Linked DNA regions of Alligator mississippiensis. The main gene of each other region encodes a partner of the protein of the gene in region 2 in a complex. Links are inferred from orthologs where the notes say so. Each region holds a gene or a part of one and is shown on either strand. Other genes may lie near its edges.

What was found.
Region 1: the proteins of CCKAR (region 2) and CCK are in contact, whole or in part, in a cryo-EM structure (PDB 7MBX), measured with the Homo sapiens proteins. The link is inferred for Alligator mississippiensis from reciprocal best matches to the Homo sapiens genes CCKAR and CCK. Residues at the interface, in NP_000721.1 of Homo sapiens: Cys94, Phe97, Asn98, Pro101, Asn102, Lys105, Asp106, Phe107, Thr118, Met121, Gly122, Val125, Tyr176, Phe185, Asn194, Met195, Cys196, Arg197, Phe198, His210, Leu213, Leu217, Ile329, Phe330, Ala332, Asn333, Arg336, Ala343, Glu344, Leu347; in NP_000720.1 of Homo sapiens: Asp96, Tyr97, Met98, Gly99, Trp100, Met101, Asp102, Phe103.

What each region holds. Positions count from the first base shown.
Region 1 is NC_081828.1:135,256,857-135,272,886, reverse strand, and holds the start of CCK (cholecystokinin), read right to left. Parts: upstream 7,987-16,030; 5' UTR 7,880-7,986; intron 6,042-7,879; 5' UTR 6,040-6,041; coding exon 5,784-6,039; intron 1-5,783. UniProt on the Homo sapiens protein: This peptide hormone induces gall bladder contraction and the release of pancreatic enzymes in the gut. Its function in the brain is not clear.
Region 2 is NC_081825.1:40,047,737-40,063,822, forward strand, and holds the start of CCKAR (cholecystokinin receptor type A), read right to left. Parts: upstream 5,952-16,086; 5' UTR 5,706-5,951; coding exon 5,585-5,705; intron 4,801-5,584; coding exon 4,549-4,800; intron 1,554-4,548; coding exon 1,292-1,553; intron 1-1,291. UniProt on the Homo sapiens protein: Receptor for cholecystokinin. Mediates pancreatic growth and enzyme secretion, smooth muscle contraction of the gall bladder and stomach. Has a 1000-fold higher affinity for CCK rather than for gastrin.

The DNA.
Region 1 (16,030 bases), on a different chromosome or scaffold from region 2:
TGCTTACAGGTGTCATGTAATATTAGCACTGTTAGGTTTGCAAACACGATTCACAAGATAAACTCAGAGATTTCAAATAGGAATTTATAGTGTTAAAAACATTCTGACCTGTTGTGGTCTTTCTGAGTTCTTTGTAACAGAAGAATTGCTCTATTATTTTTCTGTAGCCAAAAAGAAGTGAAAACCAAGAGCTGGCATTTTCTGAGGGGTGCAATGAAACTAATGAGTAGTGCCTTGAATCTCAAAAGATTGAGAACCACTTCCTTAGAGACTACTTTGCCATAGCATCTGATGAAGCTGGCTATTGCCTAAGAAAGCATATGCATTTCTGAATGAGTTAGTTTCTAAGGGTTAGTCTCCACAGGCTCGATTAAATCAAGTCTGCAGGAGCACAGAAATAGACATGCACCAGCAGACTCTGTCATCATGTGTATGAGCGCCCCTGCACCAAAAAATGGTGGTGGGGCACTTCGAATTAACGCTTGTTCAATAAGCTTTAGTTCAAAGCTCCCTGCTGCCATTTTTCAGTATGGGGGATGCCAATATATGATGCATGGGTGGTTAATTAAAAATACTCATTAAGGCACCCCCCATGCCTCCCCAAGCACATGTAAAAATGCTCCACAGTTCTGAATGAGTTAGTCCCTGCCCTGCTTTCTCTCTTGCTTTTGAGAAACTTTTGCTGACTCAATGTCTTGGTTCTGAACCTTTGCTGGCCCATCAGCAAGAGTTTAAGCATTTGCTGTAGGCACCCTCATGCTGGGTTGTTCCCACCAACCTCAGCTTTGTCTTCTCTAATTTACTATACATACAGCCAACATAGAAGAGCCTCAGGGGAACCATATTGCTCACAAACCTTGGGTTTGGGGACAACTGATCTCAAGTGTCTCCATAGCTCTCAACATTATACAGTGTTAAACTAGACTGCTGATCCCTGCTGTTGTCATAAAGGCAAAGATATCTTTAGGGTGGCAACATAATTAAAGTAATGGGATGCTAAAGCCAACATTTTCTGTAATAAATGAAAACCCTGTACTTTAAAAAGGTGCTAATGAGACAGAAAAAGACTCTTCCATGTAATTAGCAATGAAAGAACTGTAGAATATCAATTCAATTTGCATTTATCCAAACACATGTAAATTTACATTTCTGTGGCTACATTTTAAAACCAAGTGCAGTAACATTGTAATTATGAAAATGAGTTTAAACCTGTTACCATTGAGGTCTATGTCAAATTTCTCATTAACTTCAGTGGGAACAGGACCAGACCCATGTTGTTAATGCTTAATTGGAACAAGTTTGGCAGTCTTTAAATGTATAAAAATTAAAAAAAAATCCCAATCTGCTTTCCTGCTTATGGGGTTTTATATTTTAAAGGAGCACCTATCGCCTCTCTGCTTTTATAATTGGGTAGTTTTCTTCGCAGATGCAAATGAGTCATTTAAAAAAACACAAAAAAACCCCAAAACCTTAAATCACTTTGCCAATGATTGCAGAAGGTAGGAGAGTAAATATAAACTGAAATAAAAAACCCAGCAGATCTTAGTCATTTACTTGGACCAAAATGTCAAACATTTAACCACATAAGAGTGTGTTTGATTAATTTTAGAAGCCACGAAATTCACACATTTAATTCAAAGTATGTAATTATGGAGTGATGAGAATGGTTTCTTGGCACAGCAGAATAGCAGGAAACCATGTCTTAGATCAGGGACTACTTAAGAAACTTTTGAGCTTGCAGATCAATGATCCAGTGGGCACTAATGGCTCCTCTGGACTAATTATGGTCTGCCTTGGAAAATGCTCCTTTGAGAATTTTAAATTTTTGCATCACTGACTTGATGGCCACAGTGCGTTTCATCTACCCAAATACCAGATGCATGCTAAAAAGGCTTTAGGATTATTTAATTGAATGGCCTGGTGGTTTTGTTTAGTCAACTGAATTTCTTAACATCAAAATAGCGGTCATTTTAGTTACCTTTCTCCAGATTCCTGAAGCATGGTGAAGTATATACACTTATGAAACAAATGAACCTCAAACATTCCAACTTTCAAACTGTGGTCATTTTTGGAAAGAAGCTAGCTCCTAACTCGACCCTCTTAAGAGAACTCCCCCCCCCCCAACTGTTCTAGCTGTAAATAGTGACCCTCCACATAAACCATAACAACAAATATCCATATTAACCACTCATAGCAATGAAAAGTATTCAATCTATATACAGCTAAATTGATAGAGTTTTCTAACCATTTAGTCTGAAAATGACTGATGTACTGCAGGGGAGGTATCTCTAGAGCCTTCTTATATTGATCAGAACCTTCATTTTACCATTTTTATGTAATTTAAAAGCAACACTGTCTTGTAAGATGAGGAAGTCGCACCTTTCTGAGCAATGCAAAAGTATGCGAGGCAAAGAGAATTCTGCCATCCTAAACAGACCCAAAAGGTACACGTTTATGTAAGAGGGGGAGAACATGACTGGTATTGGGCTTGAAAGGGAAGTAAACTGGAGATCATTGGGTGAGTCTACATGTGCCATTAACATGCAGCAATAAACTGCAGAGCTTATGCTCTTGGGAGCTTCCCAGAGCAATAAAGTGCAGAGCAATGATTTACACATGTGCCTGGACTGCAGCACATTGAGCCAGGTTGCAGCATCGCTGGCTGGCAGGGGACCTGGGAGGGTGGGGGTCACCTTGTCAGTCTGGGGCTGCTCTGACCAGGCTCAATGGGTTGCAGAGGGGCTGGTTGGGACACGAGCGTGCTTCAGTGTGAGACTAGCTGTCAGGCAGCCCCTGGAGTGAAGCACCCTCATGCCCTAGCCAGTGCCATCAGCATCTACATATGCACTGCAGTGTATGAAGAACTCTGCAGCAGAGTAGGACTGGTATGCGCTGCTGTGCCTGAAAAAAAAAAAAAAAAAAAAAAGAGAGAACAAAAACACCCCCCCCCCCCCAAAAAAAAAACCCAACCCACAAACAAACAACAACCAAAAAACAAAAAAACTGAAGAGGGCTGCTCATATAGACACAGAGATGTTGACTATAATTAGTTAGCTGCACAGTACGTGTCTCATGTAGGCACGCCCATTCTGTGCTTTTCATCAGACCCAACCATACAAAGGTTTTTATATATATATTTTGGTTTGTCACTCCAAATCCTAGATTTTCTCCTTGTACAGGCTCTTTTACGAGTCAGGGTCCAAGTACCTGTCAGTAATATTCTAGAATTAAGCATAACCTTTATAGGGTCAGATGCCTATGGTAATTTTTAAAGAACAGTAACACGCATCTAAAAAAAGAAAACTGAACTATACAACTACATAGGCTGTTTTCTATCACATAATATTTAGGATAAATAAAGCCTAAAGCCAAAAGGTTTGTCACTCTGGCTGGTTTAGATAGTTGGAAATGTTAGCCAGGTATTTTGGGTAATGCCCAAGCTGATCGGTTTCTTTTTTGGGGTTGGGGGTAAGTTTTTTTGGGTTTTTTTTAAAGCATATTTTTAACTGTTTTGAGGGTGTAATAAATCTAGTAAATAAATATCTGAACTGGAATAAATAAATTGGCTTCCAGATAACAGATTTTCGGGAAATAGAGCAAAACTCTTCAAATGGGAGAGAGACTGAGGTGGTACTCTGCAGAATTCCAGTAAGAAACATTTTGCTTATTCATAAAAACCTATATAATTGGGTCACTAATCTTTTGCATGTAACATCAAATCTCTCTTGTTATATTGCATTGGTTGTTAAACTGAGCTCTGAATGGACACAATTAGAATTGGCATCACTAGGTTCTGGGGAAATTTCTTCTGAGCACACTTAAGTGTTTTTGGTTTTTTTCAAACACTTTTTTCCCCCATTATTACATAACAAAGATGTGTATGTAAGTGTGTGCATGAACTATTCATTAGACAAATATAGATGCTGTGTGATGCACAGTGCAGGGCGCACATTATATCCAGTACCTTTCTATGCCTATAAAGATATACTGTATATAATGCATGCAGTGTCTCTTAGTTGTAGATCCCTATTAGGAGTAAGGATGAAATTTAAAGTTAAATTTGGAGGCCAGCACAGTAAATCCCACAATGAAAATATTTGGAGGGGAGAAGTCAGGAGCGAAGTGGAACTCTGTTGCATGGCATAGACTTAGGTTTTGTCAGCCCTACCCAACACAATGTGGGGTGCAATGGAAGTAGTTACTATTGTGGTCAAAGGTGACCAACCTGTAGCACAAGTGTATATGGGCACAAGTGTATATGGCATCCAGCACATCAGGGAGGGAACAGGCAGCACAACAGCCAATAGGACAGAAAGCAGAGCAGGAGATCAGGCAGGGAACACATGGCACGTAGTAGAAAGCGTAGGAGATTGGGCAGAGAGTACAGAATAGGGAGCAGAAAGAGCAACAGATTACTCAGAGGAAGGGGATTGGCATGGCACCCAGGGAGGGCATAGGCTAATTCTGGTATGCCTGCCAAAAAGGTTATCCCCCACCCATTTAGGATGAAACTCACATCACTAAGGTCATGAATAGAACATCCAATGTGTAACAGCATTTACTGTATCCCTCCTGGGCTCCTGACATCTACCCTCTTCACTTCTGAGACATCCTCTTTCCCTGCAAAGCAGGAATGCAATGTGGAATATAGGGAATCTGTGGTGGGTAAACAAGACCTTTGTAATTCAACACATTGCCTGCAGTAGCATTTGCTGCTCATAGCAGCCATCATGCTCACCAGAAGTGCTTGGCCAGCAGCTTGCACTTGGGAACATGCAGTGTGCATCCAGATGTAAAGGAAAAAAAACCCTCCCTTTGTTCAGAATAGAACACTTGTAGCCCTTAGACTATGGTTGTATTGGATGGTCTGCCTCAGGCAGGGAGTTGGACTACATGACCTCTGGAGGTCTCTTCCAGCCCTACTTCTCCATGACATCTATGACTTGAAAAAGAATGAGCCTCTTATTGGGAATTGATTAGGAAGCTGTCTGTAATTGTTTTAATTTTTAGTATCTCTTTTGGAAGAATAACCACCTCACTTTTCAGGAGAAAAACCACTATTTTCTAAGGTCTGAATAGTGAGTGTTTGTTGAATCCAACCCGTAAATTGCATTTGTAGAATCCAGCCCATGAAGTTGATATTGTCAGCAAACCCAGCTGCAGTATCAGACAGCCTTGTAATAGTTGCCTAATGCCGTTGTCTAGTTTTCAACTGATTTTAAAACTAAAAACCTAAAAGAAATTATTACTGTATGTGTGTGGGGAGAAACAAATACTCCAGCACTTACCCCTTTTTTTCAATTTTTTGTAGAAAAAAAAATGTACCTTGTGATCTTGGAAAGACTTACAAATGTATGTGCATGTGCAGACTGGAACTGGAGTTTCTCACTAAGGACTAGCAAATACACAGTGTCTGAAATGCTGAACCTCCACTGCCTTGGTGTTTGTTGCCAGCCCCATTAGTCTGGTCTTAATTTTATTATTTAACAACAGGAAATGTGATTATTTTTGCCCCTGTTTGCTCAATTAAAAATAAATGAATTTTTAAACAAGATTCAGGAAAAATCCAGTCACCTTTGGGCTGAGACCAAACGTGGAAAAAAGTTATGAGCCAAAACAGGGAATTGAAATCAAAAGCTGATCTGAAGCCTTACATATGGGCTCAATTCTGCTCTCAGTTCTGCTCCCTAGTGCTATAAATCTATAAAGATACTGAACCTCAAAAGGTGGCGGTGGGGGTGGTTCTTTGACTCAAACACATGCCATAATAAGCAAGTTATTACCTTTTCTGGCTTGCTGGAGATATTTGGTCAACAAAGCTCCAATGTTGGCTCTTTGGTCAACATTTCCATCCACCCGTTGGACAGATCTCAGCTGGCTGGCAGACGAAGGAGTACGAACATGTCGGTGATGTTCTGTCAAGCTCTGCTCCAGCTCAGGGGCCACAGGATTCGCATTGTGAAAGCCTGTAGACTGCTGTCCAAAGGAGATCGTTGCGAGTGCAGCAAGGAACACACAGATGCAGATACCGCTGTACATGGCTAGAGGGGAAGAGAAGCAGAGGTGTTACAGCAATTATCTTCCTCTATTTTGGTGGTTCTCGACATTTTTTTTGATACCAGGACCCATTGGTAAACATCGATAGCCAGTGTCCCGACTCAGCAATAGTTTAAGTAGAAAATACACAAAAGTATTTTGGCCCCAAGTTAAAACTACAAGTTAAAGCAGCTCAACAGTCTTAATTTTAAAGACAGAAATCAGTATCAGCAGGAAAACATTAGGCACAATATCAGGATGTGGCCCTACATTACTCCCAAGTGACATTCATGTTTTTCCATGATTGTTCATGACCCTTTCATATATTCTTGAGACCCACTTTTGGGTCATGACCCAAGGGTGGGAACCGCTGCTCTATTTCATACTATGCCATCTTGTTAAAAGTGCTGATTTAAGAACAGATTTTAAAGTACTGTAACTCAAGCATCTAGGTTAAGACCTTGAAGAGGATACATGCAATTTAGTTAAGGTGTCAACATATCTTTAAGGAGAAGGAGAAATCTTTGAGCTCTACAGTAGCATGAGATGGGATAAAAATGAAGCAATTGCAAGCCTTCTTTCATCTCTACAGCTTGATATACTCGATTCTTATTCATCTTTTTTATAGATCACATTTAATAAAAACAGAAGGTGCCCGCTATGCGCAAAACAAACAAAACAAGTCCCCCAAAACAAACAAATAAAAATAACAACAACTGCCTCCCCCAAAAACAACCCCCTCCCTCCCCCCAAAGACCCCTGAGGATGGAATATTTCACTTTTTTTGTTATAAATTTAAAAATGATAGTGTGTGTGTTTCAGGTTCAAAAGTTTGCAAAGAGCATTTGTTTTAGCAGCTCTTTTTTAGTGTGGCCCTAGTATTTCCAATGGTTTTATTATATCTTAACAAACGAACCAACCAACCCCTGCAGGATAGCTCCAAGTAAAAGAAAAACCAAATCCTAAAATTGATCATTTGCTCCAACAGTGGAGGAGCTGTTTGGTTAAAATTTTGTCTCAAGCAACTTTTCAAAGCCATTTGATTTGGTCTATCAAGCAGAGAATTCTAATGCAATAGATACATCGTTGCTGACAAATAAGACCGAAGACTATACAAAATGATATCAGGCTTTGGCATGGTTGATCCTTCAGGGATCCTATGCACCGAAATAAAATTACTCTGGAAAAGGGAAAAAGAAAAATAGAAGCTCCCACGGTCCAAAAGAACACTGCTGGCCACTTCACCTTAGCTGCTATGTCTCATTTGCATGCACATTAGTGAAGAGTCCCTCCTGGATCCAACCCCCTCGACATCGGAGTGATTCCTTCCCAGGACGCTTCTAAAAACTTCTCTTTCAGCAAAAGATTCAAGCAAACGTGCCCATCCCACAAGAACGAGGATGCCCATGGCTTAACAATGACGGGGATGCTTTATGCCTGGCAGAGGGGTGATCATCATTGCTGGGAAGAGGGGACAGGAAAGCAGGGGAAGAGTTGCAATGCAAAGGGAAGAAAGTGAGTCCGGAGGCATCCAGCACAGATCCCGCCCCCTACTTGCTCTGCCCCTTGCTTGGGCTAAGGAGGGTGGCTCTGATCGCCAGTCCCCTACCAGGTTGCCCTGGGATTGTGTCTCCTTTTTTGGCTCAGCTGGAGCAGGAGGTGAAATGGTTTGAGAAGTTGATGGCAGGGTAAGAATATGCATCCCCCCTTCTCACACACACATACACATACATACATACACACACACACACACACTCTCTCTCTCTCTGTCCCCCAATCGCCTAGATCGGAGCTGGAAAGCCACATGCCCGGGAGCGCCAGCGCCGGTCCCAGCCTCTCCTACCTTCCTCCGGGCAGATCTGGGCAGGGTAGGGCGGTGTCGGGGGCCGAGAGCTGCTGCCGTGCTCCGCTGCCGCCTTAAGTAGCGCGGGGCGGGGGGGCTGGCAGCGCGGGCCAGTGCAGGCGGGGCGCGGGGAGGAGGGGGGAACGAGCAGCTCCTCCGGGCTCTTAACCCATCCCTGCCCGCAGCTTCCTTGCTGCGTGAGCTTCAGGTGCTTGTTAAGTTGGGGGTCTTTGCACCCGTAGGGCTCGCGTGCCAAGACTGCAGCTGTGCCCGTGTGTGTGTGTGTGTATGTGTGTGTGAAGCGGGGCAGAAGCTGCCCCGGGTCACTGCACACTGATCCCTGCTGTGTGTGTGTGTCTGGCTGGATCCTGCCCCCTCTCTTCCCAAGGGCAGAGGGGTGCTGCCTTGTCTGTCCTGCCCGGCAGGCACCGAGGGGCTCCAAACCCCTCTGCTCAGGGGCTCGCGGGGCTGGCACCACAGCTGGGGGCCAAGGGAGATTCTGGGCCCTGCTGGCAGGGGAAGGTGAGGACCCTTCAGAGGTGAGGGGGGAGGTGATGGGGTCTGTCTCATTCCTCCAACCCACCCCTGACCTCCCCCAGGAGCTGTAACTCCCTCCTTCCCCTCAACATGGTCCCTGGTTTCTTTCCTCTGTAGAGGATTCGCGGCTCCTGTGTATGTGGCAAAGCCTCAGGCTGTGCCAACTTCTGATTCCCTCCCAGTCCCTTTCCCCTTGCCATCATTGTCCAAAATCCCTCAATTTGAGGGTGATCTCTACCACAGCTCATTGATGGATCTTGTGGTGACTCCAGAGTCCAATCCTTGAGTCACAGATGCATCTGCACAAGTTGCAGGTTTTTCCCCAGGGAAAAGTAGATTGCAGGCCAGTATTTCTCTCCTTTTTCTTTCTCCACTCCTTCCCCTCACATTGTGCCTGGCAGAACAGAGACCCACTGGTTCCCAGTCTCCAGTAATCCTACCTGGTCCTGTCTGTGATTCAGTCTTTTGCCCTAATGACTTTGGGGGTCTGCCTTTGCTTCACCCCAATCCCCAACCTGATCTTGAGCCATTTGTGGTGGTGGGGGTGGGCACTGGCAACATGCGGAGAAGGTGGGAGATGGGAATTGGGTGAGCTTGGGACCCTTTGCCATCCCTTCACCCTACCCATGCTTTTCTCTCCTGCCTTCTGGATCCTGGGACCTGGCTCCATCACCACCTGGGACAGTGCCAAGGCAGGTCTAACACTCCTGATCCGAAGGGGATGTTGGTGACTAGCCCGGCTACACTTTCCAATTAAAACTGGTTAGAAATCAGCTGTAGAGTTGTTACACATTTTCAAGTCCTAATTTGAGAGCTGGTTGGCTCTTTTTATAGCCAGAGAGTCATTTTTAGCATGTGCTAATTACTTTGCGTGTGTGTTGGTCAAAATATATTGTGCCATCAACTAGTTAATTGTGTGACAACTACTTTGCCCTCATGGTCAGTTTTACTTTTCATGCATGGCTGGTATATTGTGTGATATGTTGCAGGGGCCTGGCTCACTGAGCTGGGAAGAGAGGCTGCAGCTGTTCAATCAGATCTGGAGGGATTTGCAAAGAACAGAGGAAGTCTGAATGTGTGTGTGTGTGTGGAGAGAGGAGAAGAAAAGAGGGACAGTGCAAAAAGAGCCAGCATTTACCTCAGGATGCTTTGATGAAGGAACTGTTTCCCCTTTCCTAAGAATTTGTTCTCTCTGTCAAACTGAGCCTTGGACACATAGCATATTGACATCTGTGTAATCAGCCTTTACACTGGTGCATGATGTGCAGTGTTACACTGGGGTCACTAACTTGAATTCAGTGTAGAATTACCCTGGGAAAAATCAAGGCATATAATTAAACAGGTGCAAGTTATAGTGCTGCAAGTGTAGATGTGTAGAGCTGTCCCAAGAAAGTCTTTGGCCAGAGGTTTGGAGGCTTTCCTGCCATCTCGTGGACAGGAGCTGTAATACTGTATGCTATCCTGGAATACCTGATTCTCTCTCTACTCTGGATCCCAGTGTAAGGTCAGCGTACAAAACCATTGTAAGTTATGCCAATGTAAAAGTGGCATATGTCCAAGCCCAAAAGGTCTTTCTGATTAGTCAGTTTCCCTAGTTTGGCTTAATAATAAAACTGCTCACTGTATTACAGAAACAAAATGGGCAACATGAAAACACACAGTGACTGGCTGGAGAAGTAGCACAAACTTTCTGTGAAGGTACTATGCAATAATACTTCTCCTGAAGAGTGGCTTCATGGAGCCCTTGTGAAGACATATTATAAATCATGAGTTCCCATGGAAATAGCCTGGAGGTTCACGTAGGAGAAAATCAGACAACTAATATGTATAACATAATATTGAATATATAATATGGAATGTTAAAGGTTGATCTGGGTGACCAATTACCGTGTCAATGCAAATGACATCAGCAGTACATAATGACAGGAATTCAATTACATCAGTATGATGTGACATATATATTACTTTGATTATAAATACATTTTAGCTGAAATGCTGAAAAACCTAACTCTTTTCTATTTCAGACAGACTGACAGCAGCTGTATGTTTCCTGACAGCTAAATTACTCTAAATAATAGGAGAGGACATCATTCTAACTCAGCCATTGAAAAGTTCTTAAAGCAGATGCTTCTCACAAGGGCATCTCTTGTTCCATAGGTCAAACACTGTGGCCCTGAATGTGTGGAATGCCATGTAATTGAGGAGAATTTAAATACATTGTTTTTGCTGTTGAACAAATAACCCTGCTGTGTACCTCCAAAATACATGAAAACAGCAGCAATGGTGTTAGTGCTGTACCAAAACAAAGAGAAACTATGACTGTCCATTGTATAGTCACACATATAATATCTACATATATTAGAAGTGTGTTCATGAATATTTACAGTATTACATTATGAGTGTTTAACTCTCTAACCATTTGCTAACTCTGCCTTGTTCACAAACTCTGCCTTGTTCAGTACATAGGTCTGACAATTTTCAGTGAATGTTGCTGCTGTTTGATACTTTTTATTCCTAGTGTTCAAAATTCTGGTTTTCTGCCTCATTCAATCCACACTATCTATCCTCCATAGCAAATATATTCATCATTCATTCACCATTCTTCACAGTGACTAAGAAAAATAGATCATATTAGGTTAACATGTAATGCTGCTCAAAGCAGGTTAGCATCTTAACTGGTATTCTGAAGTTTTTGCATTTGCTACCTTAACTTTCTTTTAATCATTTTTTGTGTGTCAGATTCTGAGATTGTATGTTATAATTTGTGTGTTCTCCAGTTCTGTGCTTGATGTTGTATAGAATGCTTGGGTCTCAATAAATAGTTTTTGCATTTTTGAGAGGGTCAGAAAGATATCACTCTAGTGAAGTAAATTCAGTAGTTGAGTGAGATAGGATGAAGTTTGACTATAGATGCTTTATATAAAAGATCTCTCAAACAGTTATTATGGATCTGGATAACTTGTTGTAAATGTTATTTCAAAAACAGCAAAGTAGCTAATTAAATTGACCTCCATTATGGGCTGGTATATTCAAATACCAGGAAACATGCAGTTTTTATTGTTATTATAGTAATTGGGAGGGTTCTAACTTTTCATGATCTTATTCTTTAGGTTTTCCACAATCTCATATACAGTATATAGTTGTTAAGCTCCTAATCAAAACTATAGGTTAATTTAAATCTAGTTGAAACCGTTAGGTGAAACAGAGGCTTTTCAATTTAGACAATGCAAGTGTCTGTAAGTGACAATTTGCCTGTCATCTGAGCAGGTAAAGCCTGTATTTTAGAGGGCTGAGGCACCTCTCACTTTCAGCAAAGGATCCTAATATTCAGAGCTTCTCTTCTTTCTCTACAGTATTAGAGGAATCACACCCTGTAAGAATGGGAAACTTTCTAAAGCCTGTTTCTGGGTAAATTTAGCTTCTTAAAGAGCTTGGGTTTGTGTATCCTTTTCCTGTCACATTTTTCTGTGTCACATAGTGACTCTTCAAGATCATGGGGATCATTTAAAAAAAGGTGGTGTTATGGCCTTTCTCTCAGGGATAAAGGAACTCAGTTATCCCTAGATACTTGCACATCCTTTCTCCTTTTACAGCAGTAGATACAGGTGTGCTAAGTGGCTGTGGCTTTTGTATCCTTGAATATAGTTCCTGGGTGATATCAGCTGTTCCTTACAACAATATGGTTTTATGAGGAATGATAGAAGCTATATACTTATTATGCTTATATTTAATATTTTTCTAGATAAAGGAATAACATATGGGCCTTTATTTATTACACTGTTCAGACTCAAAGACATTTACACTCTATATTGGAGAAGTAGCTATGTATTGCCAAGCATAAGCATATGGGGAAGTTATACCACAGAGGATAAAGCCAGATGGCTGTTTTGTGGAACCAAGGAAGCCTAGTGCTTAAGAGTGTGATCACAAGCACATTTTCTCCTTTGTCAGTATCACGTTTTTCTAATTTGCACTGCATTTTTGTTCTACTAAGACCTGGCTACTTATGAACAAGTACAAGCTATACTGGGCAAATTTATCCTTATTGTGGCTCCACTGAAGTCAATGGAGTTGGCCACAAATGGGATGAATTTGTCCCATTATGTATAATGAAATAGCAAGAACTGGCAGCAAATAACAGATGAGTGGAACTGTATGTTCTTCTGGCACTCATTTTATACAAACATATCAGTGAATATATCATTTCTGCAAACTTCATGATTATATGAAGAGCCCCCTGAGTACATTTTAAGAGACAAAACTCATTTCTTTTAACACTATTGTTCATATTGACTCAGTTGTTGTTAGCTGGTTTTGGTCTTAGACTGTCTTTTAAATGCAGAGAACTGAAGGCTTCTGACCCCTTTTGAGAAAGTTGTTCACTTCGGCCAATGTGTGGAAGGAAGAAACACAATAGGAAAAATAATGTGTCCACATTTTGCTTGGAGTGGTGGGCATGCAGGTGGCTTGTAGGAGTAGGGCACCATGAAGATCACTAATCAGCATTAACTCCATTTTCTCATCCCACTAGTGATGGTACAGTGAAGACACTCCTGTCGATTAATTGATAGCATCTGATGAAGTGAGTTGTTGCCTAGGGAAGTTTATGCCTCTCTGAACCTGTTAGTCTCTAAGGTGCCACCCTGCCCTGATTTCAGACTAGCAGAGATAACTGCATCTCTCTACCAATTAATTAAGAGTTTCTGTGTGTGATGTCTGCTCCACTTCAGGATTTTAAGGGGGTGTGATGAGAGGTTAGGCTGAAAGAAGCCCGAGGGGAACTGATAGCATCCCTCTCTAAATCCCTGGGGATTTTTCTGTGTAAGACCATGCTGACCTTGCCACCATTACCTTATGGGGAAATGCACTGTTTGTTTACCAGTGAACCAAAGCCGGGGAATTAAGGTTTTGGCTCAGGAACAAATGGAAAATTAGAAAAGGAATTTTAGGATCTAGGAAAGATAAATAAGGAAGGTAAGTCAGCTGCTACGAACATGAAAATACATGGCTAGAAGGGGCCTCCTGAGTCACTGAGTTCAGTACCCTGGGTTCATAGGCAACTATTTATCCAGGAAATTCTTCCACAAACCCTCATAATTATCAGGCACAATATGCAAAACATTAAGAACACCTATGACGTGACATTGGTTAAAGCAGAGGAGTTGAGGGTGATGCTGGTGCTTTGTTACGGCATTCACAGAGAGGTAGTTGGTTAATGTATGGTCAGAAGATCCTGAAGAGGAAGGCAAAAACTACTACGGTCCATGGCAATCTCACCTGGTGGAACAATTGCTTCCTGATCCCAAATTTGGTGGTTGGGTTTACTCTGAGTGGAAGAGAAAAAAATTCTCCAGCTAGGAGCCTTTGCTTTTTTAAGTGCTGGCAGAAGCAGTCAAAAACTCCATTCAAAGTCCCCTTAACCTTAGCAATGGCCAATGTCCTTTTGAAAGAGGTGAGACCCTTTTCTCTCCAGAAGCCAATAGTATCCATGAAGGGGAAAAAAAATCCTTCCTGGCCCCTATAAGCAACCACCAAAAATCCTGAAGCAAGAAGTTCTCAGACACCTGTTACACTACAAGAGAGTTACCCAACATGGGGATTGTAAATACATGATTGTTGAACCAATATCCTCTCATACTGTCACTTCCATGACTTTATCAAGTTCAATCATAAAACAATTCTGGACCACTACTTGGCTTAGAAGGCAATTCCAAAACTTCACTTAGACTGTGAAGTTTAGACAATGATAGCTAGAAATCTTTTAATTTCCAATCTAAATTTATCTGTAGCCATTTGATTTTGTGCCAACGTTGCTTTTCAGCCTAAAAATAGGCTTCTTTCTTCCTAATATTGAATACGAATAACTTTTAAAGAGTTATTATATCCCTTATCCATCTCTGTTTTTTAAGCTAAACAAGCCAAGGTCCTTTAATCTCCCATAAGAAAAGATCTCCATTCACTTAACCATCACTACAGGTCTTCTTTGAATAATTTAAGTTAATATTTCTGAATATTGGTAATTAGAACTGGTAATTAGAATTGGTAAGTGGGGTCTTACCAGTGCCTTGTACAATGTTATTAGTACTTCCTTGTCTTTATTGACTATATCCCATCTAATATACCCTAGGATTACATTAGCCTTTTACACAGCTGCATCACACTGGTGGCTCATGAACATTAACCAATTCAGACAGGTCCCTCTCTTCCTCAGTTGTTTCCAGATATATTCCCATTCTATAGTCAAAGTTCTTATTATTGATTCCTAAGTGCATGACTTTGTATTTCATACCATTTATGTTCATTCCCAGTACATCCTCTGTGATTTCAACAAGACTACTACGGCTTGTCTGTACTGGCTCAGGGGTGGATATCACAGAAGTTGCAGATAAGCATGCCTCACCCACCCACATCAGCTGACTTGCTCCACAGTCAGAAGTTTGGCTGGGAGTCTGCTCTAGACTCACCCCCCAATGCCCAGTCTAAGATGCAGTGAATGCTCAAGAGTGTGTCCTGGGAATGAATCCAGGGTAGTGTTGTGTTGTGGCTGAACTTCCAACTCTGAAGCATGCATGTGAATGTGGGAAGGTAGGGTGTGGGTGGGGTGTGATTATCTCTGTTCTCCATGGGACCTACCTCTGACATAATACAGGACAATTCCTGAGAGCTCCTAGATTATTTGAATACATAAGGAGATCCAGGTATGATATAAAATAAAACTGTCAAACTCAGATAATCAGCCTCTCATGATGAAAGAAATGTTGGTCTAATAGTTTCATCCTAGAATATCATGATATTTTAATTCTTGCTTTCCTTTTGCTTTATTGTTTGCAATATACATTTTTTACTTTTCTGCATACAATTCAATAGTAAAATAGGAAGTCAAAGAGTCACATTTTAATTCCGAGGATTAAGGAGAGGATAATTGCCAAACAAGCAAATAAATACATCCTAAATGACTGTACAGAACTGTGTCCTTAGGTTTGTTTCAGCAAAGTACCTGTACATGTGGTTAAGTCCCCCTAAAGATACTAGAACTAATGCATGTGAATAAGTGGTTTGCTAGACTGTGGTGGGGTTACTTTTGCTTAAACTTAAATTCATGTGTGTTTTGCTAAATTATGCTATTAATGTAGTTATTAAAGACAATTTTCCCTTTGAACCATTTGCCATTTTTGAGGTCCCAAGGCTGAACTGCGCAGGTGACACAACTTTTTTCATCTGAAGATATGAATCACATTATTCTTCTCTGTAATTTATGTTAACCTACAAATGTAACACTACATGTGTTTAATCCTGAGTGACCTGGATACTTCCCTTCAAAAACAGATTTTTGAGAGAACACACTCTTGAGAGATTTACCATTCAAATATGGAGTATTGCCTGGTGTACCACACAGTTCTGTGATTTATGACTGCTGAAAAATGTGTTCAGTCTGGAAAACTGTTGGGAATTTTACTTCTGGATGTTAGAAACATTTTTACATTAACCCCAGGGCATTACAGCCTACTGTACATCTGATTACACATCAGTCTATATAAGACATAAACTGAGAACACCATACATTTATTTTTAAAAATTAAATATTATCCATCATATGAAAAATAATATTTATAT
Region 2 (16,086 bases):
GTTCAATTTGTTGACATCTCTCTGAATTCTAGCCTTATACTACAATGTATCTACTACTCACCACTAGCTTGATGTCATAGGAAAGCTTCATGGGGGTGCACTCCATCCCATCTTCCTGGTCATTTGTGAAAATGTTGAACAAAACCAGTCCCAGGACTGACCCTGGGGGCACTCCACTTAATACCAGCTACCAGCTGGATATCAAGCCTGATGGCTCAGCCAGTTTTCTATCCACCTTACAGTATATTCATCAAACCATACTATTAAAAGATTGCAACAGACAGAAGTTCTGTTTAAAAATATTATTAACAAAGCAATCATGTATTTTTGAGCCTAAACATTTTCTGCTGTCAGTAGTTTTACTGCACACTCACTGGAGTTTCCCTATATTTATACTGGTGTCACTGGAAATAGGATTTAACTCTTTAACTTTCCTTTTCATGCATGCTCATTATAGCAGGCATAATAAGTACTGAAAATATTAACACACAATAAATGTTTCTGTAGATGCACCAATACTAGGTAGTACCAGCTATTGGCTTGTTCCCAGGTTCTGCTAAAGTTATTAACAACACTCCTATACTGTTCCTGTGATAGCCAAAGTGTTTGGTTATGTGAAAAAGAAAATATTAAGGAAACAAGGTAAAAATAAACTAGTTTTCAATGCAATGTTGCACCTTCTTATGTTCTTATGTTGTATCTTTACCATTTATTCACAGTCTCGTGGCATATGGCTTTGTGTTTTAATAGCACTGATTTCTCCTCGCATTGCCTGCTTACATTTCTGCTCTAATCTCTCCAGGTTATTAGCTTGGTTCCATTTTCGAGTACATTTATTCTCTCTCCAATGTGCATGTCATCTTATTTGTTGACAACTGGAACTACATCCGTTCTACGCAGGCAAAGAATGAGTCATAGAAGGGGTACAGGGGTGTGGATGTGTATGGCTTTTCAAGAGTACTTGATCAAAAACACTTTGAAAGGGGGAGTAGAGAACTGAGCTCTACTATTAGGGAGAGCACTACAAAGGCAACAGATATTTTACCATCTGTAGCCTGAGAATTATTGGCATATACCATATCACCTTTGTGAAGCAAAAGTAATGACAGTGTTAAAGGAGAAAAAAGGCAGTTTAAGAAATAGCAGTCTATGGAACTTCCTAAATAAGCATACCAGAATTCTAAATTTTTTCTAATGGTTAATAATGGATTTGCAACAGGCTTGATGCAACCATGTAATTTTATTTGATACCAGACAATTATCAGATATTTAAGAGTCGATTATATCTTACCAGGACTGCTGAATGACATCGCTTGGCCAAAGCAGGCGACACATGTTAGCTGTACTGTTGTTCGGTTTTGTAAAAGGAACCAGTTTGCTGTATATTGGGTATGGGGACATGATGGTAAAGGAGATGCACCAGGTAGCAGCAATCACCTTCAAAGCATGAGATTTTGTCTGCCAGACCCTAGACTGTAAAGGTTTGCAAATGGCGCTGTATCTCTCCAAAGATATGGCAACCAGGTTGAATGTGGATACACTGACTGAGATACCTAGACATGGAAAGCAAACAAATTAATTATGTCTATTCTTCTTTCAAAAGACAGATGGCTCTCTTTTTTGTTCTTTTGGTTGTTTTTTTTTTAAGATTCTTGGCTAAACTTCTGGGTACATAATGCACAGTAAGGAAACTATGGCAGTAGCTCTGACACAGCCTTCTGGTACTTGGGTTTTGTAATCTGATATTCCAGATTTATACTTAACTACTCAAACCTGTGAAACAAAATAATTGACAGCTTTCGTCTTTGTTCTACCAAGGCAAGAAGTTATATGGTCAGTTGCATAAGATTCTTACATTACCTTACGTACAAGGCAGGTATACTTGCATGTCGTAGACCAATGAAAGTAGAGATATAGCACAAGATTTTGTGGGCTAGAGCTCACTTCATCAGATGCTCTGTGTGCGTGCACACATGCACTCTAGCCCATGAAAGGTTGTTAGATAGATATGTATCAATGTGCAGGGGTGTGTGTGTGTATAAATATGCACATGAACATACATATACATTTTTTGGTTACTCTATACCATACAAATCTACCCTACCTACTATGACTATCTACTCTTTTGTTATTCCAGTTCTTATGCTAATGTAACTTTGCTGAAATATAATCAGGCATTTGAAATCACTGGAGTTAATTTGATAGCAATAAAAAAGTATATTTTTGTTTTAAATAAAATAACCACAATTATCTTTTTCGATGAATCACTAAACTTCCTGTTTTGTTAGAATTAAGTAAGCATACATCAAATGCACTTCCATAGTCTTTAGTGGAGGCATATAAAACCAAACTGAAGGAAGTGTAGTAGAGAATTAGAACCTGATTCTATAAAATGTATGTTCATTTTTCCTCCTTGCTAGTAGATATAAAAATAACATTACATTTAAACACATTGTGTTATACATATATTTTTTTTCCCTTGTGACCTTGGGGAATTATAATTGTAAAATAACAATTGCTGCATGACTAGAAATGTTCTTTCCCTTTAACCTTAAGTCACATAGGAATTTTCTGGTATGAAATTATTTTCTCTTAGATAAAAAATGTAAGATATTAACATTTTTACATAAAAGGTTGCTTGCCAAAAATCATTTCTACTTTGTAGTATTCATATTTATAACCCTCTTGCATCCTAAAGTGACAGTTTAAGTGGATGGGAGATGCAGTGCATATCAGGGACTATTCATCAATACTGTTCCTTTCTTAACTTAAATCAGGGGTTCTCAGCCTCCAACCTGTGGGCCAAATGTGGCCCATGGAACCATGGTATCTAGCCTACGGGGCTTACCTCGGATTTGGAAATTTGGTGACAGGGGAATGGTGGCAATTTAATATGGCCACTCTCCACCACTGCCAAATTTAAAAACCCCAGGCCCTGTGGGGCTATATTAAAGCTGGGCCACCCTTCCCCGACCCCAATGGAGCTGGATCAGGGCCATGTCATGCCCCCTTCCCTTCTGGGGCCAGGTTGAACCTAGGTCAAACCCCTTTCTATCCCTGCCTTCAGGGATGGATTGGGGCCAGGCTGCCCACCTCCCCATCCCCCAGCCCTGACTGGGGCCACTGGCTGGATCTGGCCAGCATATGGACTGTACACGGGTGAACCAGCCCACTGGAGGAAAAAGACTGAGCACCATTGGCCTAAATTATTAACAGGAAAATCCACATTCTGATTCGTAAAATAAAATTAAATTTGTAATTTTTAATTTCATACTGGAATGTGTGTGTGTAGATATAGATGTGTGTGTGTGTGTGTGTGTATGTATTCTGAATAATTTAACGTGATAGTCTGATATTTTTACTTATTTCATTATAAGCACAGTGCTTCAGTAATTTTTGTCGTGTCAGCATTCATTACAATTTGTTTAAATATGGACTTTAGTGTTATTGATTTATATCTAAAGAAAGATGTTGACTTCCCATTCCCACACTTCAGAAGTGCACTTTCATACTACCTCATAGTTTTGAAGGATGCAGGTTGGACATACATACATTATTGTAATGAACTGCTAAGGTTTGCTTTCGAGATTTGAAAAAAAAGCTTTTCAGAATGGCTTTGTTGTTACTTTACATTTTTTTAAGTAAACCTTCTGAAGTGAGAGATTGTGGCTTGCAGCTGCTTCATAAACCAGTCTACCTGCAGCTCCTGGATCTACCTCTGTAACAAGACAAATGTCCAGCCAAAGCATTTTTAAAATGATATTGCTTCTTCAAAGTGAGTGTAAAAATAGTATCATGAGGCTCCATAATTGTTGTTCTCCACTGACTTCTGGACAAATTTGATGCATTTACAAATAAAAGTGTGTGTGTGTGTGCGTTTCACAGCCTGCCGCCTCCTCAGGCCCCAACAGGGAGGCTGAAACCTGGCTGGGTTTTTCCCCTTTTCATTTGTCACTTAGGAGTAGACAATTCTGCCCTTGGTTATGGTTGTGCAATCGTAATGTATTTGCCCAGCAATCCAAACTGTTAACTGCTCTGCTGATAATAAGCAAGTGGGCCTTGAATGCAGCTCCCTTCCTAGAGGCTGATTCTGTAAAGTAGTGAACACTCAACCTATTCCAAAGGTTTCACTGGTTTATACTAGAGAGCTCAGCACCTTGCAAGACTGAGTCCTTATTTCTGTATTGACTGCTGGTCCAACAAAGGTAAAACCATTTGTCTCCGAAGTGAGCAGATTTGACTCTGAACACGATGCTCATTATAAATGGGTGTCACCCTCACTCTTCGTAACAGGACTCCTTCTAGTCCATTTTACTTGTGCAGAAAAAGTTTTTACCTTTATATGTGAGAGGTTTTAGTCGCTGCTTGTGCTACTTGCATTTCATAGTGCTGATCTTTCCAATGAGCTCTTAACATTTACTCAATTTTGTTTCACCAGGGTTGGGATATCTTAGCATGTTAAAAGATCTGGCCCTTATTTAGCATTTCACAAACCCTAATGGGTTCATCTTTAGAGCAAATATAAAATGCTACAATTGAGAGACTTACCCATGAAGTAGGTGGCAGTTTTACAAACAGCACTACCGAAGATAAAATCCTTCAGCAGGTTAGGAATGAGGGTGAATGGCATGCAGAAAAGGCAAAGCATCAAGTCACTGACAGCCAGTGACAGCAGAAATATATTAGTGACTGTCCTCATCCTTTTGTTTCTTATCAGCACTGTAATTACCAGACTGTTCCCCAACACACTGAGCAAAAATATCAAGGAATACAGCAGAATCCGAACTGTCTGATGCAAATCTGAAAATTGCCACAATAAAGAATTAGTTATGAAATATGCAAATCATATACTGTATTAGTTTTTATCAGTAGGTCTAATCTGTTAATCAAAAGGTAAAGGCTGCTTCAACATTCAAGGCAGTGGACTTTTCTTATATTTAATTCCACTGAAGCTGGTATCTTTACACCAAAGTAAAACTGGTGGAAGTAAATTCTGAGTTTGATTCTGATCTACCTGAACTGTATAATGTTTAAGTACAATATATTCAATACACTGTACACTTTAACAACTATATTTGGCTACTTAGAAGTACATGCTACTCAAAAATAAGCATTGCAAAGCACAATTTAAATTACAGTGAACTCATTTTAAGAACCAAAAATAAATGGCAATTTGTATTATTATAATTAGTAATTTTTTTTAGGCATGACATATATCATGTTAATCACTTTCATATGCTGCATATAATCATATAACTCTGCAGTTACTGAATTTTCCAATAGTACTACAAAGTATGTACATATTATTAAGCATTCAAGTGGTACCATCTGTATTTTGACTTGGTATCACTATTGTTATCTTTTCATTTTAGCTTTATATTTCTTTCCTGCCATGTTTATAAACTGAAGAGACGGGGCATATTAATTACTTGCTAGTCTGTTGCTTATCTGAATTTATCAGCTAATGCTTGTTTTTGCTCTGCCTCAAAAAACCTCTGAGTACCTGTTTCTCTAAAAATATCTCTGATTTTACTTTCAGCTCAAACTGTTGCTTTCTGAAAAAAATGTATTTTCATGTACATACCTTTAGCAGGATGAGGTGAGTCATCCACACAGAAAAATGTATCATTTTCCAAGATAATATCACAAAAAAGAGCAGAAATATTGGTTCCATTTTCAAGTAGACTATCATCAACTATTTCCATTGTTCAGGCTCCACAGGTTTGCTTCTACTGGGGAGAAAGTTTGATTTCCAACTATCTGCCCATTCTTTCATCTGCCAATAAGCAAAAAATATTCCTGAATGAAATCTTCAGTAGAACGATTTAAAAAAGGTGGTTGTCCTAGTAAAGGTCTTTTTTTCAACTATCCATAAGGGATAACTAGTATATAGATTTCTGCTCAAAATGGAAAAGATTTATTCCAGTAGAATAGAAAGCAATATAGATACATGAAAGAAAAAACATGCACACACACATAAACACGTCTCCTCCTGCACCTTCTAGATCCACCCTCTTCTATTACTGGGCTGTGGTTGGGATTATAAATATTCTAGATAGTGATTACAAACTTAACCCCTTGTAAGATGGTTTCAGCTTGTATGTCTACAGTGCCTCTCTAGTGAACCTGTTTTTGCCATGGCCAGTAAATCATGAACAACATGTATAACAAATCAGTCTTTCTGTCAACATTTAACAAGGTAATAGTACATTGATAATAGAATGTAGAAAAGAAGAAACAGAGTCAATTAGGGCTTTGTACATGTGTACACCTTTATGTAAAAGCACCAGTATCTTTGAATCTTAAACAAATGCAGGATAGTATCTCTAGGTGCAGTTGGAAAACTGGGTAAAAATTAGACGCAGTAAATGGGAAATAATGGTATGTACCTTCCTTTGTAATGCAGTTCGGGATGCTCATACAAATGGTTGTGTGGGCCCAATCCAATGGCCATTGAAATCAATTAGTCTTACCATGGATTTCAGTGGCCTTTGGATCAAGCCCTAAAAAACAGGGTATTAATAATGTTAGTTAATATAAGAGAGACTATATTTTCTCCAACTGAGGGTTTAAGACACAGTTTATAAATTTTCATTACCCTTATATTACCTATTAACAGAATAATAACAATGATTAAAATGCTTGTGTTTTAGCATTTTTTCTCTGAGTATATACAAACATATTTTCACTGGGGTATAGCCACGAAATGATAAACCTGAAATGATATGTAAAGTTTTCAAAAAACTGTAAGCCTGTTTAAACAAGTGAAATCATAAATGGGAAATTACTAAATAATGGAATAAATTGATCCTTTCTGCAGTCAAATTTCACATTTCAAATCTTTTCTAATAGACAAGGCAGTACAATAGGATTATGTTCTACAGATCTCTTTTTCCAGCCTAATCTGTGAAGGTTGGAAGTCTTGGATTTATTATGTTCTCAGCCTCTCACACAGCCACATTTCCTGGCATGTTGATTAGGAAGAATGCCTTGCAACTCTGTAGATAAGTTCAGATCTGTTCTTATTCCTCCAAGACTTCCTATGATCATTCTTGATTTGTTGTACAGATATTTGTAATTTTTTAAAGTCTGAGGTAGTAGTCAATCAATGCATGGAGTGTACTTATACTTACTGTACCCCATTCTCCTTCAGAAAGAAATAAATTAAGTCTAGCCGGAAATATTCCTTTGCACACCCCAAAAATATATATAAGCATAAAGAGCTTTTCTATCAAATATGACTTAACTATCATACCAGAACAATATATTCTGGGATTCTCCTCCTGTGAATCTAGAATGTTTTACATGAGAGAAAAGTATTAAAAATACAAGTTTAAAACTGCTTGTTTTTACAGGCAGGTTACTCTGAACATGATGTATGTTATTCTATGAATAACTCTGGTTTTCTTCCTAGCTTTGCAGTTCTTAATTTACATCATGTGCCTGAGAGAGAGCACTTGTTATAATGAAATGTTGAAGTGGATTTTGGTTTATTTCTGTATTTACTGATCATTTTCACTACCTGTTTCAGATGGACTAAGTAAGAGCTGCCATTTCTTAGATCCTGAATTTCTAAAATGACAGCCAGAAGTTATGCTGATCTTGAGCATGGAGGTCACAAGAAAAGCCAGAAAGCAGCCTGCAGAAGAGGGCTGTATTTGGGTTGTGAACTTGCTTTTCTTTCTGGGTGGTGGTGAGCAAGTGGGACATAGAAAGAAATGTGGGCTGAACTTTCAAACATTGCTATTAATGACTGTATTATCCTTAGTAAATTACCTTGCTATGAATGACATGAGAGGAGACATTCCTTTTTAAAAACAGAAGTCTTCCTTATGATGTCTCTACCAGTGATGGGTATGATGCCATTGTTTAGAAGCAATAGTAATCCAAATGGGTTTTTTTTCTCTTTGGACTTAACTCATATTACTATTAGTGAACATTATTTGAGGGTGTAAACCTTAGGCAAGATTAATTCTTAAGAAAAATCTAGTTTTATTAATAACAATATCAATTACTCATAGAAATGTGCTTTTCCTTGAACTTAACTGTAGTAAGCATGTGAAATAATTTGGACACCAAAGTTTCACTTTGTAGATACTTTAAAGAAAAGTATGTAGAAATATCAATCTTTTTCTCTGTGTGTGCGAACATAAATCTGCTGTTAATACAAAGATACTGTTTGGTCTCTAATCCCTTTTCTCTCCCAGTGATTTAATTTTGTTACTGCTGTCAACCTCTTGAAGTACTAGTTTAATAGTAAAAGTAATTGCGACATTCTATCATTTCATATCATACTAGTAACATATTCCACACCACAAACTAGTCTCATTTATTTATGCTTTCTTAATATTTTTTTTATAAGAATGGAGCTTTATTTTGGGGTTTTATTCATTAATTCAACTAATTCAATTAATTCAACTAATTTGAAGCTAACATTCAAAGACCCCATTCCTCATGTAAATTAAAAAAGCATCTCTACTTGTTAGAATAAATATGGAATAGCAATTCTTCTTTTATCCTGTATTAAATGTAGAAATATAATTTTAGTATCAGGATATTTTTATCATAGCAAATGAAATAAGAGCATATTCAGAGGAAATTTACATAGAAATATGGAGTCTGATTCTGTTCATACCTGCCTCTCAGGTTTACACTGGCATATTTCCATTGACTCCTTGAATATACACTAGTATGAGATCTGAATTAGGCCACTGATTTGTCAAATATATGAAATTCTGGGAACACCATTATTATGATGATTGCATTTCAGCTAAGTCCTCATCTGCTCCAGTCAGCTTTAATATCTTAGAGGAACTGCAATAAATACATGGGCAAAAGAAACACTGCTTTGTTTTATAGCCACATGAATTGAATGGCATGTATTAAAAGAGGGAATTATACCTTCATAGGACTTGGTAAGTTGTAGCAAGTTCATAACAGGACTTTGATCAATAAATGTGAAACACTGCCCTTCTACACAAATCATAGGTGGTATATATTTGTTTTATTAAATAGCAAATATTGTCTTCCAATAAAATTAGTTCTAATCAACTTGAACTCAAACTGTTCATTAGATATTAGTACTATTTCAAAGGGGTCTAATGCAATCTCAAATGAGATGGGTACCAAAATGCTCAGATAAATTAACACATGGCTATCAGGCAGAGCTAAGAACATCATAAAGAAAGAAAAGCCCATCACTTTGATTTAGGAATGTATTCCCTTCTACCTTGTGACACAGTCTATGGATCATGGGAGAATGGGCTTATGCTGTATAACAACGTGCAGATTTCTGAGTTTCAAACAGATCTACCAAGTGTAAAGCGTGTCTGGTCCTTAAAAATTACAGAAGTAACTACCAGTTTCATTTGCTTTTTGGAAATCTTATTTGCAATTTTTCTCATTCAAAAGTGACAGTAGTCAATATATATAGTTTAAAAGATCATAATATTGAGCTTTTTTTTATACTGATTTTTGGTCACTATCATTATTCAGGATCAATGTCACTAACCATTTACAGATTGGGAAACTAAGTCACAGGAAGGAAAGAGCACCCTGTAAGCCAGTAAAATAATGAAATGGCCCTGTGTTTCTGGATCAAGCCTCATGTAGCCCCAACCCTGCATGACTGATCTAGCAGGGAGGGCCATGCTATCTGGCTTGCAGGTTTCCCACAGGTCCAGAAATGGCAGCAGGACAGTAGCAAATAACACTGCTCAGTTCCCCCACCATTAACTTTTCTGACCCTTGGGGAGCCATGGCATTGGCTCCATGGGCTGGATCTGGTTCCCACGCTGGTGGTTGAGCACTTCTGCTCTAGTCGGTTCCAGTACTTAAACCATCTTCATAAAAAGTTTTCCCTAATATACAACCTAGATCTATCTTGTTATTTCACACCATTACTGCTTGCGATGTCCTCGTGTTATTAAATACAAAAGGGACTGTTGACAGAGGAGGGTGACCAGCTGTTCTCTTTGATCACAGTCATCTACCCCCAGTTCAGTCTTCCCTTTTCGCAAGCTAAATAATCCTAGTTCTATCAACCTGTCTTCATACATTGTGTTTTCTAGGCCTACAATAATTTCTGTTGCTTTCCTCTGGACTCTTACCAGTTTGCCCATGTTTTTGCTGAAGTGTTGTTCCCCAAATTGGACACCACTGGTTTTGCTGAGGCCTTACCAGTGCTAAATAGAAAGGAAGAATCACTTCTTGTGACTTCAGTAGAGGACTCCTTTTAATATATTCTGTAGTCTAATATGCAATTAGCTTTATTGCAACAGTATTACACTGTTAATTTGTTGAGGTTGTAGTTCATTATAAGCCCTAGATCCTTTCCTATGTTACTATAACCTAGGCAGTCACTATCCTATTTGTGTCTTTGTACATTTGTTTGTCAATTTAAATGCATCACTTTCATAGATCTCATAGACATTAGGGGCTGGAAGGGACCTCACGAGATCAAGTCCAGCCCTCTTGCCATAGGCAGGAAGTCTGCTGGGGTCAAATGATCCCAGCAAGATAAACATCTAGATGCCTTTTAAAGGAGTCCAGAGTAGGTGCTTGCACCACCTCTGAGGGGAGTCTGTTCCAGACCCTGGGCCCATGGACTGTAAAGAAGTTTTTTCTTATGTCCAGTCTAAATCAGCCTACCAGGAGTTTGTGGCCATTAGACCTTGTTATCCCTTGGGGGGCCCTGGTGAATTACTGTTCTCCCAGGTCCTGATGCTCCCCCCTTGTAGGCTGCCACCAAGTCCCCCCTGAGCCTTCTCTTCTCCAGGGTAAAGAGTTCCAAGTTCCCCAGCCCCTCCTTGTAACGCTTGCCCTCTTGGCCATTAATCATATGGATGGTTCTCCTTTGGACTCTCTCAAGTTTATCCACATTCCTCCTGAAGTGGGGGGCCCAAAATTGGATGCAGTACTCCAGCTGTGGCCTCACTAAGGCTGAGTAAAGCAGGAGGATGACATCCCTGGTTTTGCTTGAGATGCATTGATGGATGCATGCCAGAGTTTGGTTTGCTTTGTCAGCTATGGCATCCCATTGCTGGCTCATATTCATCTTGTGGTCAATCAAGACCCCCAAGTCTCTTTTGGTCGTGGTGCTAGCAAACGTATCACAGCTGAGTCTATAAGTATGCTGCTGATTCTTCCTTCCAAGGTGGAGCACTCTGCACTTCTCTATGTTGAAGGCCATTAGGTTTTGGTTTGCCCACCTTGCAAGTATGTCCAGGTTGGCCTGTAACCCCAGCCTGTCTTCCACTGTGACTGTTTTCCCCCATAGTTTAGAGTTGTCTGCAAACTTTGCCAGCCTGCATCTGATGCCCGAATCCAGATCATTAATGAAGATGTTGAAGGGAACTAACCCAAGTACTGAGCCCTGAAGGATGCCACTGGTCACCTTGTGCCATGTTCATAACTTTGCCCCTGTTATTCAGACCATTTTTTCCAATATATCAAGGTCACTTTGTAGCTTAATCCCATCCTTTGGAGTGCTTACCACCTCTCCAAACTCGGTGCCATTCACTATTTTACACTAAATTTTGTCTTCCAAATCACTAATTGAAAGTATTGAACAGTAACAGGCCCAGAGCAGACCCTGGAAAACCCCAATAGATACTTTTCCCCCTGTTTGAATTATTAGTGACTCTTAGTCATGTTGATAAGCACAGCAAAACCAATTTTTTTCAGTTCTTCAGTTAGGTAAATAAGACATGCCTATAAGTGTGAGCATGGACACATCATACAGTACACAGGCCAACTACATAATAAAATACTTGGATCCAGAGTAAAGTTAGTGCTTGAAAAATGTGCTGTAGCTTTACTGTGTACAATTATTATGCAGAATGTGTTGTGCGTCTCTTTCCTTAGTCCATTTCATTCTGTAATTGCATTTTGCTATATACAAATGGGTTTCCCACCACCTAGTGGCCAGGTACCATAATAATATTTATTGTGGCCAGCTGGTAATATATCAGCTGCTTATTCTGGAGTAAATTTACTTCAGAATAAAAGCTGAGATAAAATACTGCCTGGTAATAATATTGTTTGGCCATGCTCAATTTTAGTGGTCCTGTCAGTCCTGTTCTCCAGTTTTTCCAATGGAATGACTTGAACCCTTGATTTACAAGCTGTAGTCCCATAGGAGAATGTGTTTTCTAAGAGATGCAGATGAACCTTGTAGATTGTGATGTCAGTATTTTTTTCAAGCTTGTTTCAGACTATTACCATCCAAAGTGCCATAAGACACAGTAAATTTCAACTTCTAATTATTTCCTTATAAAGTAATTCCAAAATACCATCCAAACATGAACAAAAATAAATGTTTCCAGTGTTTCATCGTAGAGGGTCTTTGAGAAGATAGCTCTATCAGCATTGCTTATAATGCTGTTGTCTATATTATCCTTAAGAAAACACATTCCAATGAAGAATTGCTCTAGGTAGTTTGGAGTATTAGCCTGTGTTTATATAATATTATATTGTACAGGGAGTTAATGTGAGAGAAAGGATGTAAGATTTAAATTAATGTTCATTGTTTGGTCTTTGCTTACATTACAAAATCATTTTTAAACTGCCCAGGCATACAACATCTTAAAAAAAAAAAAGGAGAAGCAGAGTACATGGACAAAGTTCTGTTCAAAATGCCTAGTATTCATTCCTTATTAAAGTGAAACTCACTTGGCCCTTTAAATTAGGGTTTTCTAGGTATTTTCATATCCAAATGCTTCCATGGGTTTATAGATCAGTCCTAAAAATACGTCATACATTGAAACTTAGATTATGAAGTCCTACTGTGGAGATGCTGAAATACTTACTGTTAATTTTTCTTTAACAGACCCTTGACAAACTTTACTATTTTCTAACTTTGAAAAAATAGAAAAAACTTCAGTTGAGATACTATGCCTGATAAAGACACAACAGCTATTAAAGAATCTTTAGTTAAATATAAAGGCACCCTCTAAAATATTTCTTGGAAGGCAAATTTATGATGTTTTAGCTAAATTGGAAAAGAAAAACACTTTATCCAGTTACCTGTTTTTTGGTATTCTTTTTTGTGTACCTTCAGCTCCCCTGCTGGGCCCAGAGCCACTCTCACTGCTTCTCCGTGACTGGGCTGGGCTGCTGCTGACTGCCCTAGAGCCAGAGCTGCTACCCAGAAGGAAAGCAGTGGTGAGGAGGTGGGGGGGGGGGCAACCACCGGGAACAGGCAGCAGGGGGCAGGCAAAGGCATAGACATGGGGAGGACATGGGCAGGGAGGGAAGCAGGGAGCAAACGGTGAGGGGGGCCAGCCACTGGGAGGCAGGGGCAAGTAGCGGAGGGGCAGCCACAGGCACAAGAGGAAAGGAGGGCAGGCAATTGCTTTCCTCCAGTGCTGCCTTGAGATGGATAAATTTAAGATGGCCCTCCAATAATTAGATTCTATGCATGGAAAATTATAATAAATTTATCATTTTGCATGTATAGAATCTAACTGTTGGAGGGTCATCTTAAATTTGAAGTCATCTTGGATTCATGTGAATGAGGTAATTGATCCTTTTACAAAGCCTAAAAGAAGAGTCCATAGTATGTCCATCAGATCTGAAAATCATGGCAGCTACCAACATAATTAGTATAAAGAATGTGATCTCTTATGTCATTATTATAATTTTGCTAATGGTTATTTTTGTTACCTTCTGTCACCTACAGTTACTATTCCTTTTGCAATTATTGTACTGTTCATGGTGCAATATACAATGCCTTGTAAAAGTATAATTCAATTATAATACAGAGTGCTCCTTTTACAGTGCCCTTGTAAAACTATAATTAAATATAAACCTGCATTGTCTTTTTCAAATCCCTTATCAAACCCACTTTTCAGTTAAGTACTGATTTCCACTGAGTCCTATGCCTAGCCCAAAAAACCCCAAATTAGACAAAACTGTTTATAGAAGTACATGAGACGGAGGCAATGAATTATCCAAATTCTTGAGGGTGGGAGGAAGGAGAGCGGGGGATTCTTTCTCAGTATACCCTTTCCTTTCTGTTGTGATTGTTGCTATTGTGGAACTCCCTCCCTCTCTTCTCCCCACCATGATTTGATTTAATTCCTCATTATATTAGTTTATATTATATATCTAATTTATGAAACACACTGACTTCAGTGGAAGCCCTGCATATAAGAGTTTTTTGAGTTTTAGGACCTTACGTGTCTTAAAATCCTTGGACCAGGGAACATTGTCTTTTTTTCCTGTGTCTTGTTCATGTCTGTTACATTATTGTAAAAATAACTGCTTTGTCCATATACAGGAGGTGACAATGACCATTTAAATGGATGGTATCCTCTGCTGGTGGAAATCAGAATAGCTCCAATAATTTCAGTTTGTACCAACTGTAGAACTGGCCCGACTTATGCCCTATTTTTTTCTTTTCTCTTTTCCAAATGAGCATAAATCCTTGCATTCTTCCAGCAGCTCTTTACACTTCCTACGGCATCCTGAAACCTTTTCTATTTCTGTTTCCTGGATATTTTCTGTGTATATTTCACCAAGAGGGATTGCTGTATTTAAGGTGAGGATGCACTAGTAATTCACACCATAGTGTTATATATTATCTCAGTTTCTTTCTCATTACAGCTTGGTATTTTGTTGTTGTTGTTGTTGTGTGTTTTGTCTTGGGGAGATTTATAGTCATGCAAGACAGGGAAAAAACTCTACTGAGTAGCTTAAGTGGTTCTTTTAATAACTGAACATTATCTGATGCCACACTACCCAGTTTTCTAGTTTTGTTAGTCCTGTCTGGAATCAGGCACCACTTTAATGAGCCTTGATTATTCTAAGTACTGTACCTTTGTTTTCAGTACTGGATTTCTTTTAAGTCAGCAGGAGTTTTGAGAAGCCAAAAAATGCTGAATCTTCATCATTCTATTTATTCCTTTTCTGTTTCTTATATATGAAATGGTTTATTCTACCATAGGGCTTTACTGCTTATTCCTTCTATGCCACATTACACTAAAATGTTTGTTTATAATCTATTTCTATATGTAAGGGGAAAATTGTGTTAAAAATTGGAATTCAGTTTTGCAGTTCCCTCCTGAGTTTATCCATGTTGGACTGGGGCAGGAGAGTGATTGACTGTTTCAATATAGAGTTTGTTAAGCTTCCATGCCACTTGTGAGAGCTATCAGATGAGACTGTATTCCCTAGTTGGTTAAGATATTCATTCAGTGCCCTGCACTCTCTTTGGGTGGTATAAAGTGTTTGTCCCTACAAGGAAAGGAAGGCATCATCGCAAGAAATAAAACTATGAGAAATGTATGGAAGTTCTTCTATTTGTTTATATTCTGCTCATTCAGTGTTTTCATTTTGTAGGTTCTTACAAATGCTTTTAGGTATCTTATTAAAGGAGCAAATACTGAGTTCAAAATTGAATGTAGAAGGTGTGGAGCAAACTGAAGATACTTGTTAACTCTAGTAGATGTTTTCATTTTGACAGTTACTGCAGCTAGTTTTCTTCCAAGCTCAGAACCATTTGGGAAGAGCTATGAAAACCCTCAGAGACCATTTCCCTTAGCTCATCCTTCACTTCCTACTCTTTCTTTGAGACACTTTAACAAACATTCATACTGTCCAGCTGAAATGCCAGCTAAACATCTGGTAGCTAACCTAAGCTAGATCTGTCTTGTTTCAGTCAGAATTTCCTGCAAATCTTTCATAAAATAATTAAAGAAACATTCTAGGAAGAGGGCCGGTTCTCCTTAATGATGATCTATCGCCAAGCCCTGTCACAGGAAGGAAGGAAACTCTGGAGTTAGTGTGGCACATCCTGCAGTCCCTTACTCTGCCAATTCCCCATTAAAGCTAATGATGGGACTGAAGTAAATGAGAATATTGTTTGATTAATTTTATTCATTAGATTTAGATGCTGCCCTCAGCAAAGAGCTTTCGAAGTGTACAATAACAAACAGATAAATTGAAAACAGGTAAAAATATTAAAATAATATAGAATAGAGCAAACCCCCCAGACAGTGTCCCCACACTTAACCCTGCCTGCTTAACTGGCAATTCCAGACAATCCCTAAAAGCTCCAGAAAAGGCCAACAACATGGCCAGACG